3 linked regions of the Daphnia pulex genome follow. The protein of the gene in region 1 purifies or fractionates together with the protein of each later gene. This does not show direct contact. Links are inferred from orthologs where the notes say so. Each region holds a gene or a part of one and is shown on either strand. Other genes may lie near its edges.

What was found.
Region 2: the proteins of OTU domain-containing protein 5-B-like (region 1) and FACT complex subunit spt16-like purify together in Homo sapiens (affinity purification with mass spectrometry; 3 studies listed by BioGRID, with this or other methods). This does not show direct contact. The link is inferred for Daphnia pulex from reciprocal best matches to the Homo sapiens genes OTUD5 and SUPT16H.
Region 3: the proteins of OTU domain-containing protein 5-B-like (region 1) and ruvB-like 2 purify together in Homo sapiens (affinity purification with mass spectrometry, with the first as the bait; 3 studies listed by BioGRID). This does not show direct contact. The link is inferred for Daphnia pulex from reciprocal best matches to the Homo sapiens genes OTUD5 and RUVBL2.

Annotation. Positions count from the first base shown.
Region 1 is NC_060018.1:2,564,243-2,567,995, reverse strand, and holds the start of OTU domain-containing protein 5-B-like, read left to right. Parts: upstream 1-965; 5' UTR 966-1,116; coding exon 1,117-1,248; intron 1,249-1,548; coding exon 1,549-1,709; intron 1,710-1,774; coding exon 1,775-2,018; intron 2,019-2,080; coding exon 2,081-2,236; intron 2,237-2,306; coding exon 2,307-2,463; intron 2,464-2,529; coding exon 2,530-3,210; intron 3,211-3,273; coding exon 3,274-3,509; 3' UTR 3,510-3,753. Other genes in the region: zinc transporter ZIP1-like, read right to left, coding at 1-277. UniProt on the Homo sapiens protein: Deubiquitinating enzyme that functions as a negative regulator of the innate immune system. Has peptidase activity towards 'Lys-48'- and 'Lys-63'-linked polyubiquitin chains. Can also cleave 'Lys-11'-linked ubiquitin chains (in vitro).
Region 2 is NC_060017.1:5,830,583-5,834,335, forward strand, and holds the start of FACT complex subunit spt16-like, read left to right. Parts: upstream 1-1,281; 5' UTR 1,282-1,539; coding exon 1,540-1,608; intron 1,609-1,674; coding exon 1,675-1,935; intron 1,936-2,006; coding exon 2,007-2,155; intron 2,156-2,220; coding exon 2,221-2,374; intron 2,375-2,432; coding exon 2,433-2,581; intron 2,582-2,641; coding exon 2,642-2,756; intron 2,757-2,813; coding exon 2,814-3,113; intron 3,114-3,190; coding exon 3,191-3,226; intron 3,227-3,288; coding exon 3,289-3,465; intron 3,466-3,529; coding exon 3,530-3,622; intron 3,623-3,686; coding exon 3,687-3,753. Other genes in the region: adenosine 5'-monophosphoramidase HINT3-like, read right to left, coding at 33-159, 221-287, 340-457, 667-747. UniProt on the Homo sapiens protein: Component of the FACT complex, a general chromatin factor that acts to reorganize nucleosomes. The FACT complex is involved in multiple processes that require DNA as a template such as mRNA elongation, DNA replication and DNA repair.
Region 3 is NC_060021.1:8,103,629-8,107,381, reverse strand, and holds ruvB-like 2, read left to right. Parts: upstream 1-893; 5' UTR 894-989; coding exon 990-995; intron 996-1,102; coding exon 1,103-1,216; exon of another isoform or gene 1,217-1,276; coding exon 1,277-1,397; exon of another isoform or gene 1,398-1,416; intron 1,417-1,468; coding exon 1,469-1,619; exon of another isoform or gene 1,620-1,658; intron 1,659-1,688; coding exon 1,689-1,851; intron 1,852-1,911; coding exon 1,912-2,041; intron 2,042-2,137; coding exon 2,138-2,236; intron 2,237-2,311; coding exon 2,312-2,424; intron 2,425-2,495; coding exon 2,496-2,716; intron 2,717-2,781; coding exon 2,782-2,920; intron 2,921-2,987; coding exon 2,988-3,102; intron 3,103-3,170; coding exon 3,171-3,199; 3' UTR 3,200-3,405; downstream 3,406-3,753. Other genes in the region: uncharacterized protein LOC124194162, read left to right, coding at 73-225. UniProt on the Homo sapiens protein: Possesses single-stranded DNA-stimulated ATPase and ATP-dependent DNA helicase (5' to 3') activity; hexamerization is thought to be critical for ATP hydrolysis and adjacent subunits in the ring-like structure contribute to the ATPase activity.

The sequences.
Region 1 (3,753 bases):
TGAATTCAGCAACAGGAAAATCAGTTGTTATATTAAGGTCTGCAAGCACTTTCCTCGTCTTGTCTTGCGCATAAGGAAGTAGTCCTAGAAAGCACATTGCGATGAAGACTCCACCAGCCATGGAATTACAGAATGAAATTATTCTTTCTGTACCACGACTAAAGTTGCAGTCCTTGGTAGATTTCTTGGCTACAATGCAGACTGGAATCAAAGCACAAATTGCCATAACAATGTACACAATCAAAGCAGTGACAACCAGCAGTACTTGGCTATCCATGTTGACTGCCACTATGCTTGGATGTGTCTGATGGACTGATGCAACTGTTTACTCTTTTAGAATTTTTCGTTTAGTAATTTTCAGCGTTCGCACAGGCCAGATGCCACTGACTCTACTCACTGTCCCTTCGCGTTATTATAAAACTCAAAACTACTTGAGACAAGGGCACTTACTGCGCCTTGAGCGAAATATTAACTCGAGCTCGGTCAACACCCTCTGTCGGTCGATTTGTATTTATTTTTATTTTTTTTGTGCTTTACATCTTCTGCTCGTTTTCTTACTTCATGCTAGAAGGAACCTACGACAGGTTCTACAATAATGCTACAATAATTAATTCACCTACCTGAAAGGTATATGCAGGGTGATTTTATTCCTTCCTGGCAGAAGTTATGCAATGTTTCACTTAAAAAGTAAAATTCCAGACACACGATCAAAACGAAGTCAATGTCACAATACTGGCAGAGCAGACAGAATGTTCGTATACAATTAACATCCTTGGTTGCCTTCTTCGAGCAAAAATTCGGAAATTGAAAAATACATATTAGCTAGAAGCTAGCTAAAAAATATTTTTCAACACAATTTTGCAAACATGAAAAATTATGTTTTTTATTCATAGCATCACTCCGAAAATTCATTCCATTGAAAATTTGAAACATTTTGAAACTCTATGTTTTCGCTTATTCATCGACATGGCAACCTCTAAATAATTTAGACAGAAAAATAGACACGGCCATCTTTCAGTGGAAAATTTGTCTTTTTCGTTGAATAGATAAAAGAAATCGTCGAAGAGTACATTTCAAGGGCGTTTCGGTAAAGAGAGTGATCTTTGCACAAGCATCATGACAATTCTGCCGAAAAAGAAGTCATCTCAATCACGGTCGGAATCCGAAAGTAATACTGATGGATCTCCCCTACAACACCTCTCAGTTGGGAGCAATAATCACCTTTCACACATTGGACCAGTACCACAGGTAAAAAAATTATTTTTATAAATATACCCCAGTATTTAAACAGCCTTTGGAAGAAATTATGGCTGGAAGTTTCAGTGCATCTTCTAATTGACATCTGAAACAACCACACAAAATGGCCGGTCCAGCTACAACCAGTACTTATGTACAAGAAGCAAATGGTGCTTTGTTCATTACACCCTTGCCATTTAGGCAGTGCTCAATGAATAAAAGCAAATAGTATTGATAACTATTATTGACAAAGATGACAAAAAGTCAGCATTGTTGATTCTTATTAAAATGTATTTTACATAAATTTTACAGGTAGCAGAAACTTGCAGTGTGTCTAGGCTGTCTGGAAGAACATCATCAAGCCATCCCCACAGCCACGGACACAGCAGCCAGTCATCATCTCGCTATGAAGATTATGACCTGGAGAGTGGTCCTAGTCAAACAAAAAGAAGAATGAGAGTCAGTCCCCATAGGTATTTAATCTCAGTTATTATTTTGTTGCATTGAAATTTGACAGGCATATTTTTTTTTTATTTAGAGCTGTCCGCCCCAAGCACAGAGATAGGAATTCATCAACCTCTGCCATACCTAGTACTAGTTCAGCCATGCACAGTGTTGCCTCTTCATCCAGCTCAGGAAGTTCTCCCACACCAAGCCATACAGTACCAGATCCTTCTTCCCATGAAGATGAATCAGGAAGTGGATATAACAGTGGAGATGAATATGGACCTGCAAGATCTTCATCTTCTAATGTCCCCATTTCTGAAGAAGAATGGGAACAGGTATGTTTCCTAAGACAGAAGTGTTATTCATAGAACTCCATCAATGCCAATATGATTATTAGAAGGAAAGATGGTTTGAGAAAAAGATGCGGAAACGAGGTTTTATTATTAAGCGGATGGGTGAAGACGGAGCCTGCTTGTTTCGTGCCGTTTCTGATCAAATCTACGGTGATCAAGAAATGCACTCAATGGTTCGCAAACATTGTATGGACTATATTGTAAGTAATTGTCCTGTTGTATTTTTATGAATTTGAAACATTACGTCTATATTTATATTTGTCATAAAAGGACGCAAACGGAGACTACTTTTCACAGTATATGACTGAAGACTTTGCCGCCTATGTGAGTAGAAAAAGATTGGAAAATGTACATGGCAATCACATTGAGATGCAGGCTATGAGCGAAATGTACAACAGACATATTGAAGTATTTTGCTACAGCGTCGGTAAGCCCTTATCATTTCGATAAAATTCGCTAAATAGAAGGCTTACTTAAATTTAACCCATTACAGAGCCGATCAATATTTTCCATGGTAAACATCAGACTGATGACGAACCTATTCGATTGTCTTATCATCGTGGAGTGCACTACAACAGTTTGGTTGATCCGTACAAAGCCACTGTGGGAGTAGGACTGGGATTGCCAGGATTTGTCCCTGGTCAAGCAGACAAGAAATTAATGGGTGATGCCATGCGACAAAGTGAAGAGACCTTAATTGAAAAAGCCATGTTAGAAGATAAAGTTAAAGCCACAGATTGGGAGGCAACAAATGAAGCTATTGAAGAGCAAGTTGCCCGTGAAAGTTACCTCGACTGGCTTAGAGAAAACGAGCGACGCAGTCGACAGCAGCAACGGTCCGGTCATTCGGCAACCACTTCCTCGAATGCCTGCGAGCTCCGTTCCCCAAGAACAACAGCAACGACGTCCTCTTCAGCTCGTAATTCGCCCAAACCATCTTTTGTTGAACACCAGCGGAAGTCTCCAAATGCTTCACCGAGAGCGTCCACTTCACGCAGCGCCACAACCTCTAGTAGTCGTGAAGGTGCATCAACTAGCCCTATCGCGTCACCGGCCGCTGGTACTTCAAGTTCAAACCCAGTGAACACCAGTAAACCCGATTGGGGATTGGGGCCAGGCTTTGAATTGGCTGAAACGGCTTCATTCCTGGGACAGTTGCCTCCTGACATGTTTGGTAACTGACGTTTATATCAACAGATATTTTCAGTTTAATTTTATGCTTTAAAATTGGCTAAAGGTTTAGCAGACTGGGAGGATGCTGGACTTTTGGCTCAAGTGCTGGCTGCATCGCAACAAGAGTATCTGGACAAGTTGAAAAAGAGCAGGGAAGCCATCGACCCTCACGACGACGAGACGATGGATAACACCAAACAGCAGCAAGAGGAGCAGCCGGTTGAACAGAGCAGTCGCGACAGTATGACGACAGATCCAACCAACGACCTGACCAGTGCGAACGGGACTAACAATAGTTAACCCAGACTCCTCAGTTGTTTTGTCTACGTGTTAGCTTTCCTTTTTTTTTCCCCCCGTCAGTGGCAGGGAGCTCAAGAGGCGTGTATCAGGGGAGGAGTCAGAAGAAAGTCCTTTCCATGCAAAATTGTTAATCTTTGATTCTCGGTCTAAATTTAGACTCGCAATGACGTCTGACTGACACAATTGGATTGAACTTGCCTGTACCCCCGTCTCCTCCACTGCCGATTCTCGCAAACTGGCTGCC
Region 2 (3,753 bases), on another chromosome or scaffold:
ACATTCAAAGGTTTTAAATTCGTAAGTAGTACCGTTGCGAAATAAAATGTTCCGGGCCGAAATACTTGACGTCCTATAAAACTCATAGCACTCTCAGGAAATATCACGTGTAGGTGCAGATGTTTAATAGAATTAAAAGGAGGCCAATGAAATCCCATTCTACAATTTAGTTGAAATCATTACTACCAATTTTTTATGAGGGTAAGAATCCATATGATACCTGCAATCACTCAAGTCTCCTCCATGATTCTTCACAAGTTGCTGTCCTACAGCTACCATTTCTTCAACTAATAAAAAAATATTGATAAGTTTATTTGAATTGATAATCAGGCAATTTACCCATGCTGACTGTTTCTATGGTAAGACTTTTAATATCATTGATGTGATCTCTAGGAATGACTAGAAGGTGGTTTTTAGCAGATGGTTTGATGTCATTAAAAGCCAAATATTTTACATCCTATTTATGAAAGGAAATACAGCATTAGGAAATGTATATCTTTATCTTATTAAGTACCTTATTTTAATATATCTAAGCCATTTCTTACTGTGATTTTCAGGTAATAGCTAGTCTACATTAGATTAATTGATTCCCTGGAAGAAAATAAACCTATTTGCTACAAAACGCATAATTTAATTGGTCAAAAATGAGAGAGGAAGAGCCTTAACCTGATGAACGATAGTTGCTGGCGCCAGACCTTCACAAATCTGGCAAAAAATGCATTTGATGGACTTTTGTACTGAAACCATTTTTAGGGAATTGTACTGTTTGTTTGTTTGTTTGTTTTTTTTTGAAGATAGGTGCACTGGCCGATTGTACTGTTTAGTTCAGTCATACGTAAAAATATTGACACTGACTGAGGGAATGGACTTTTCGCGTAGTCTGCAATTCTGTAAGGATGCCAAATTCCGAAAAGCAACAAGTTGTTTGTCATGATTTCGAATTCGAAGTATTCACTTAGATTCATGCAGTAGGACATAAATATCCTGTAGCATAAAAATCTTAAAAAAAATAAAAAAATATGCATATTTCCAGAGCTATAGAATCCCTGGTCGGTTCTCGGCTGTGTTGGCTTCCCTATCCCGGTTTCAGGGTAAACGTGGTCCGATTTGGAAACTGGAATGAGCGCTCTAGTGAGTGTGTCAGCTACTACGCTCAGCTACTTTTGAGAGCCTAGATGGCTCTGTTTCTAGTTTCCAATGACAGGCCCCGCCCTAAAACCCCCTGAAAATCGGACCACGTTTACCCTAAAATCGAGATGGGGAAGCCAACACGGCCGAGAACCGACCAGGTATCTATTGCTCTGATATTTCTGAAAAATCAATGGATAATATTATTATTAAAATCATAGTTGGCAACGCCCAGGTCTTTATGAACTTCATTCTGCTTTTTAGAGGGAAAAGCATGGGTTGCGTTGGGTAAACGGTCTGGCAGTTTTTTGTAACGAACCTCAGTACAATTTCGCCATTCCAGATTCGTAGTTTCAAGTTGAAATATTGCAGTTTCCCATTCGACTTGGATGATCCCATTTGTTACTGAAAATGGGAAGTCTCGCTGCAGATAGAGAGGTGTTCTTTCGAAGGATAAAGCGATTCTATTCGTCTTGGAAGGTAAGTTGGCGTCAAACAACCATGACAGTTGGATTTCATTTCATGCAATGATATAATATCTTATAGAATGAAGACTCTGAACTTGGGTTTGCTGATATGGATGCATTGGTCACAGCTTTGGGGGCGGATGAGGAAGTTGTGTACAGCAAAACATCTGCTTTACAATCATGGCTTCTTGGATATGAATTGACTGATACAGTTATGGCTCTGTGTGAAGATTCCATCTATTTCCTTGCAAGTAAGAAGAAGATAGATTTCTTACGCCCGCTGGAGGCAATTAAAGAAGAGAAAGGCTTGCCCGCTGTTAAGCTGTTGATTCGTGACAAAGTAAATCATGATACATATTTTCCATGTTAGAAACATGGAACTTCAACAAAGAAATTTTTCTATTTTTTTAGAGCGACAAAGATAAAGCCAATTTTGTGAAACTTATTGAAGCATTGAAAAAATCTAAAAAAGGAAAAAAGCTTGGAGTGTTCTCAAAAGACAGTTTTCATGGAGAGTTCATGGATGCATGGAACAATGCCATCAAGAAAGAAAAATTTGAGTAAGAAACATTAGAAAGTGTTATTAGAAATATATAGATAACAATGTGTGAAATCATATTTTCAGGACAGTTGATGTTAGTTCTGGGGCAGCTTATATGATGGCTCCTAAAGAAGAATCTGAACTGAATGTGATCAAGAAAGCATGTCAAGTATCTGTTGATTTATTCAACAAATATTTAAAAGAACAGGTTATGGAAATTGTAGATGCAGATAAAAAGGTTTGAAAAATTTATTATTTTTTTTTCAATGGGACTTAATTTGAATTTATTTGTCAAGGTCAAACATTCAAAATTAGCCGAAGGAGTGGAGAACGCAGCCACTGACAAGAAATATGTTTCTGGTGTCGATACGGGTCAAGTTGATATGTGTTATCCAGCCATAATTCAAAGTGGAGGGAATTACAGCCTGAAATTTAGTGCAGTGAGGTACATCTATCAATTAGCAAACTTTATGTGAATACATTAATGCTTCTTTTTATTTCACAGTGATGATAAACCCCTTCATTTTGGAGCAATTGTTTGTCTTTTAGGAGCACGTTACAAATCTTACTGCTCCAATATTGGTCGAACCCTTCTTGTCAACCCCACTGAAAAGATGCAGGTAAAGAAAAAGATATTTCCATAAATGAGTCTAGATTACATTCTTATGAACTTGTAGGAGACATACAACTTCTTGTTATCGGTTGAAGACGAAATTTTGAAATCTCTCGTCGAAGGAGCAAAGTTTAGCGATGTTTATAATGCTGCTGAGGCATACGTAAAGAAAGAAAAACCAGCCCTTCTTGACAAGATGACAAAAACCCTTGGCTTTGTTACCGGAATTGAATTTCGAGAAAGCTCTTTGGTGATCGGCCCGAAGAATAACGCAGTTGTCAAAAAAGGAATGGTCTTCAATGTCAATCTTGGATTTGCTGACTTGGAAAATTCTGATGGCACCGATGATCGCTATAAGAAATATGTATTTATATAAATTAATAATATTTATTTATTTATTTGTTTATTTAAATATATATTATTTTATTTTTAAAATATTAGGCTTTGTTTTTGAGCGACACTGTTATTGTATCCGATGTAAGTTATAATTTTGAACTTTTTCTTCTACTTGTTTTTTTGACGAGTAACATTATTTTTAGGGTCCAGCTACTATACTTACTGCTTCGAAAAAAAGGATTAAGAATATCGGTATATTCCTTAAAGATGAATCTGGAGAGGAAGAAGAGGAGGAGGAAGAGGACGAAGAAAAGCCATCACGACAGCCCCAGAATTTAGGTCGAGGCAAGCGGACCGCTATTCTTGATTCTAAACTTCGGGTACATAGTACTTTTCTTCTTATCATTTTCCATTGTTATAATTTATAATTTGTGTTTCTTTCAGGAAACATCTACCGAAGAAAAACGTAAGCAACATCAAAAAGAATTGGCTTCTCATCTAAATGAAGAAGCCAAACTTCGGCTTGCTCAGCAGAAGGTAAAGAAGACAAAAAGAAAATAAATGTGCAAAAGAATAACATTAAAATCTGATTTGGTTTTAGGGACGCTTGGAAGGCGATAAGATCCGGAAATCTACCGTGTCATACAAATCCGGGAAAGATTTGCCAA
Region 3 (3,753 bases), on another chromosome or scaffold:
ATGGCAAATTGATTTGCACACATTTTTTGTCGTCTCTTTCTAATGCTTTGAACGATTACTTCCCATTTTTAGCTTTCAGACAAAGACTTGCCTAGAAAAACAACCAAATTAGCTGGCAAATTGGTAAAGAACAGTGTTCAGTTGGTTTTGTTGAGCTATTTAGATTACTTTACTGGCGGAATAACACCTACACTACGGAAGACGGTGACAGCGAAACACGGTTAATCAAAAATGTATAATTGTTTTGTTATTTACATTTAAAGTAACAACCCTGCTAAAATACTATGTCAACCATGAAACTGTTCATCTACAAAAGAATGAAAATTTACAAAAATCGAGGTATATTTTTTCCATGTGAAAAGTAACACAAGTCTCTTTCTCTCCCGTTTGGGAATCCCGTTACAAAAATGAAAATCTCTCTAAGTCTATGTCTCACTCAATGTACACTGAATTCACTTAACGTTTGTCCTGAAAATGCACGTGTCTCTGATCCAACAAATTTTACTTTATAACATTCTGAATTCCACATTTTCTAAAATTTTCATTTGGAAAAAGTCAGTAGATGCTAAATGGTTTGTGTAAAACAATCATAATCGAATATATGCATAAAAAATCTAAAAAAAAATTTGATTACGTTTGCGTTGAAGTAGTAATCGACACCAAAGATGTGTTTCAGACAGCCACTAGGCTAGCTAATGAGCTTTTGTCAAGAAATCATTGCTCCTTTTTATGCCTTTGAAAGTTGGAGCTAAAATCAGCATTGCCATGTTTGATAATTTTTTTAAGATTCGAGGAAAGTAGTAAATAAGTCGATAAGTGTTTTAAAATTTCATATAATTTAATTTAATAAAATTTAATGTTGATGTATAATATTACAAATGCTTTAAAAAAGAATGTAAAGCGAACAATCAATTCAAAACCGTTTCCATGGATACCACCGGCGTTGAACGGGAAGGATAGGAAACTCAACGCACTGTAAAAAGCAAATCATGGCGGTAATATATACACGTGTTATAATTCTTTATTTTGGATAAAATGGCTAATTTTTCCGTTTCCCTTGTGTGCTTTTTTTATTTCTGGACCATATCGTTTCATTTTTTAGGCGATCCCATCAGTTAAAGTAGCAGAAGTGCGAGAATTCTCTCGAATTGAACGAATCGGTACTCACTCTCACATTCGAGGTCTTGGACTTGATGATGCTTTGGAACCAAGAGAAGTACTTTTGAATAATTTGAATAAAAGAATCGTACAAGTTACATATCAAAATGATTGTTAGGTGTCCCAAGGCATGGTTGGCCAGTTGACAGCACGACGAGCTGCTGGTGTGGTACTGGAAATGATTAGAGAAGGAAAAATTGCGGGGAGAGCAGTATTGATTGCTGGACAGCCAGGAACAGGTTAACATTGTCTTTGAATCTGCAATAAACATCCCATTATTTGGTTTATAACACTTTGGTTTACTTTTTAGGCAAAACTGCAATTGCCATGGGTATGGCACAGGCTCTCGGGGACAACACACCTTTCACATCCATGGCCGGATCGGAAATCTACAGCCTTGAAATGAGCAAAACTGAAGCTCTAACTCAAGCATTTCGAAAATCTATTGGAGTTCGAATCAAGTAGATGTGAACTCAAAATTTGTTCAACCTAGAAATCTTGTAACCTTATTTTTCATTTGTTTTCAACAGAGAAGAAACTGAGATCATTGAGGGTGAGGTTGTTGAAGTTCAAATTGATAGACCTGCTACCGGAACTGGTGCTAAAGTTGGAAAGCTGACATTAAAGACAACAGACATGGAAACTGTGTACGATTTGGGCAACAAAATGATTGAATCCCTCATCAAGGAAAAGGTGTGTAATTTGTTTGACAAAAGTGTTTCAATTTTGTATACATATCTTTGTGTGGTTCAGGCCCAAGCTGGAGACGTCATTACCATCGACAAAGCCACTGGCAAGATCTCGAAACTCGGACGATCGTTCACTAGGGCTAGGGATTACGACGCAACTGGACCGCAAACCAGATTTGTTCAGTGTCCCGAAGGTATATTATTTAAATTCCAGTTTTGGTCAAGTGGTTTACGACGACGACGACGACATCGTACGATATTCTTACACCACTCCTATTCTATTTACGTAGGCGAATTACAAAAGCGGAAAGAAGTGACTCACACAGTCACCTTGCACGAGATTGACGTAATCAATAGCAGAACTCAGGGTTTTCTCGCCCTCTTCTCTGGTGAGCTCACATACATTTTTAATTTCCCGACCTTGAAAGTTTACAAAATTAAATCTCTTGTTTTGCATTCAATAGGGGATACTGGTGAAATCAAATCCGAAGTCCGGGACCAGATCAATAGCAAAGTCGCCGAATGGCGCGAAGAGGGCAAAGCGGAAATCGTCCCGGGAGTTTTATTTATTGATGAAGTTTGTGATTAAATCTTCATACCATTCTCCTTCCTGCATATATTTATTCGTACCGTCATGTCTCGACGTAGGTGCACATGCTAGACATGGAATGTTTTTCATTTTTGAATCGTGCTCTGGAAGATGATATGGCGCCAGTGTTGATTATGGCCACTAATCGTGGAATTACTAAAATTCGCGGAACCAAATATCGGAGTCCCCACGGCATCCCAATTGATTTGCTTGATCGGATGGTGATCATTGCCACGCAGCCGTACGTGGAAAAGGAAATGAAGCAAATTCTGAAAATCCGGTAAAATTATCATTTCAATTATTTGATGCGTTGGCTTTGCCTTAATTGATATTTTCTTTGCACAGGTGCGAAGAGGAAGACGCCGAGATGACGGAAGATGCTCTACTCGTTTTGACGAGGCTTTCCTTGGAAACTAGCTTACGCTATGCCATTCAGCTCATCACGGTTGCTAATCTCATAGCTCGCAAACGAAAGGCCATGGAGGTTGGTATTCAGACTGTATTCAGACAGCACGTTATTAATCATTTGCTTTATGCTCTTATCTAAATAGATTGCCGTAGAAGATATTAAAAAGGCGTACACGCTATTCCTGGATGAAACCCGTTCCACCCAGTATCTGAAGGACATTCAAGATGAATTCATGTTTAACGAAGAGGACGAACCAAGTAAGTACCTGAATCATTACGTCTGAGATTTTCTTTTGTGTATTCATTGAAAAATAACATTTTTACAGAATCTGACGTCGCCATGGAGACATCATAACTTAACTCAAAATTCCATTTTGAATGAAAAAGCTTTTTTTTTCCACATTTGTATCGTCTATCAAATAATCCCGTCAAAATAAAAAAGACGCCAAAAAAACAAACAACTACACTCACACGTACTGTTTAAACTGTTTTTCTTCCCGCCTCGTAATAATTGTGTACACCCGAAAAGAAGACAAAAAATACAAAAACACTTTCGGTCAAGCTGCTAGTTTCGGTTGATAGGTGGCTCTGAATGTCCTAAACTCGTCGCTTATTTGCGTCCGTTTGTTACGACTTTTGTGTAAGTAATTTTTACCACGAAAAAGAAGGGGAGGGTAGAAAAAGAAGTTACCACCATGTATAACCCGCCAACACCCGAGCCCTCGAGAGGTGCACCAATCAGAGACGCATCACCTGGTGAGGTAAAGGCGTCGCTCCCGAACCCTCAGTCGTCCGTGAGTGCACCCGCAATAATTTCGTGTCAAATCCGTCGCAAGTCAAGCCAGCGAAAAGGGAAATCAGCACACACACAGCAGCAGAAGAGGAGGCGAAAAAAGACTTTTTCGGCAA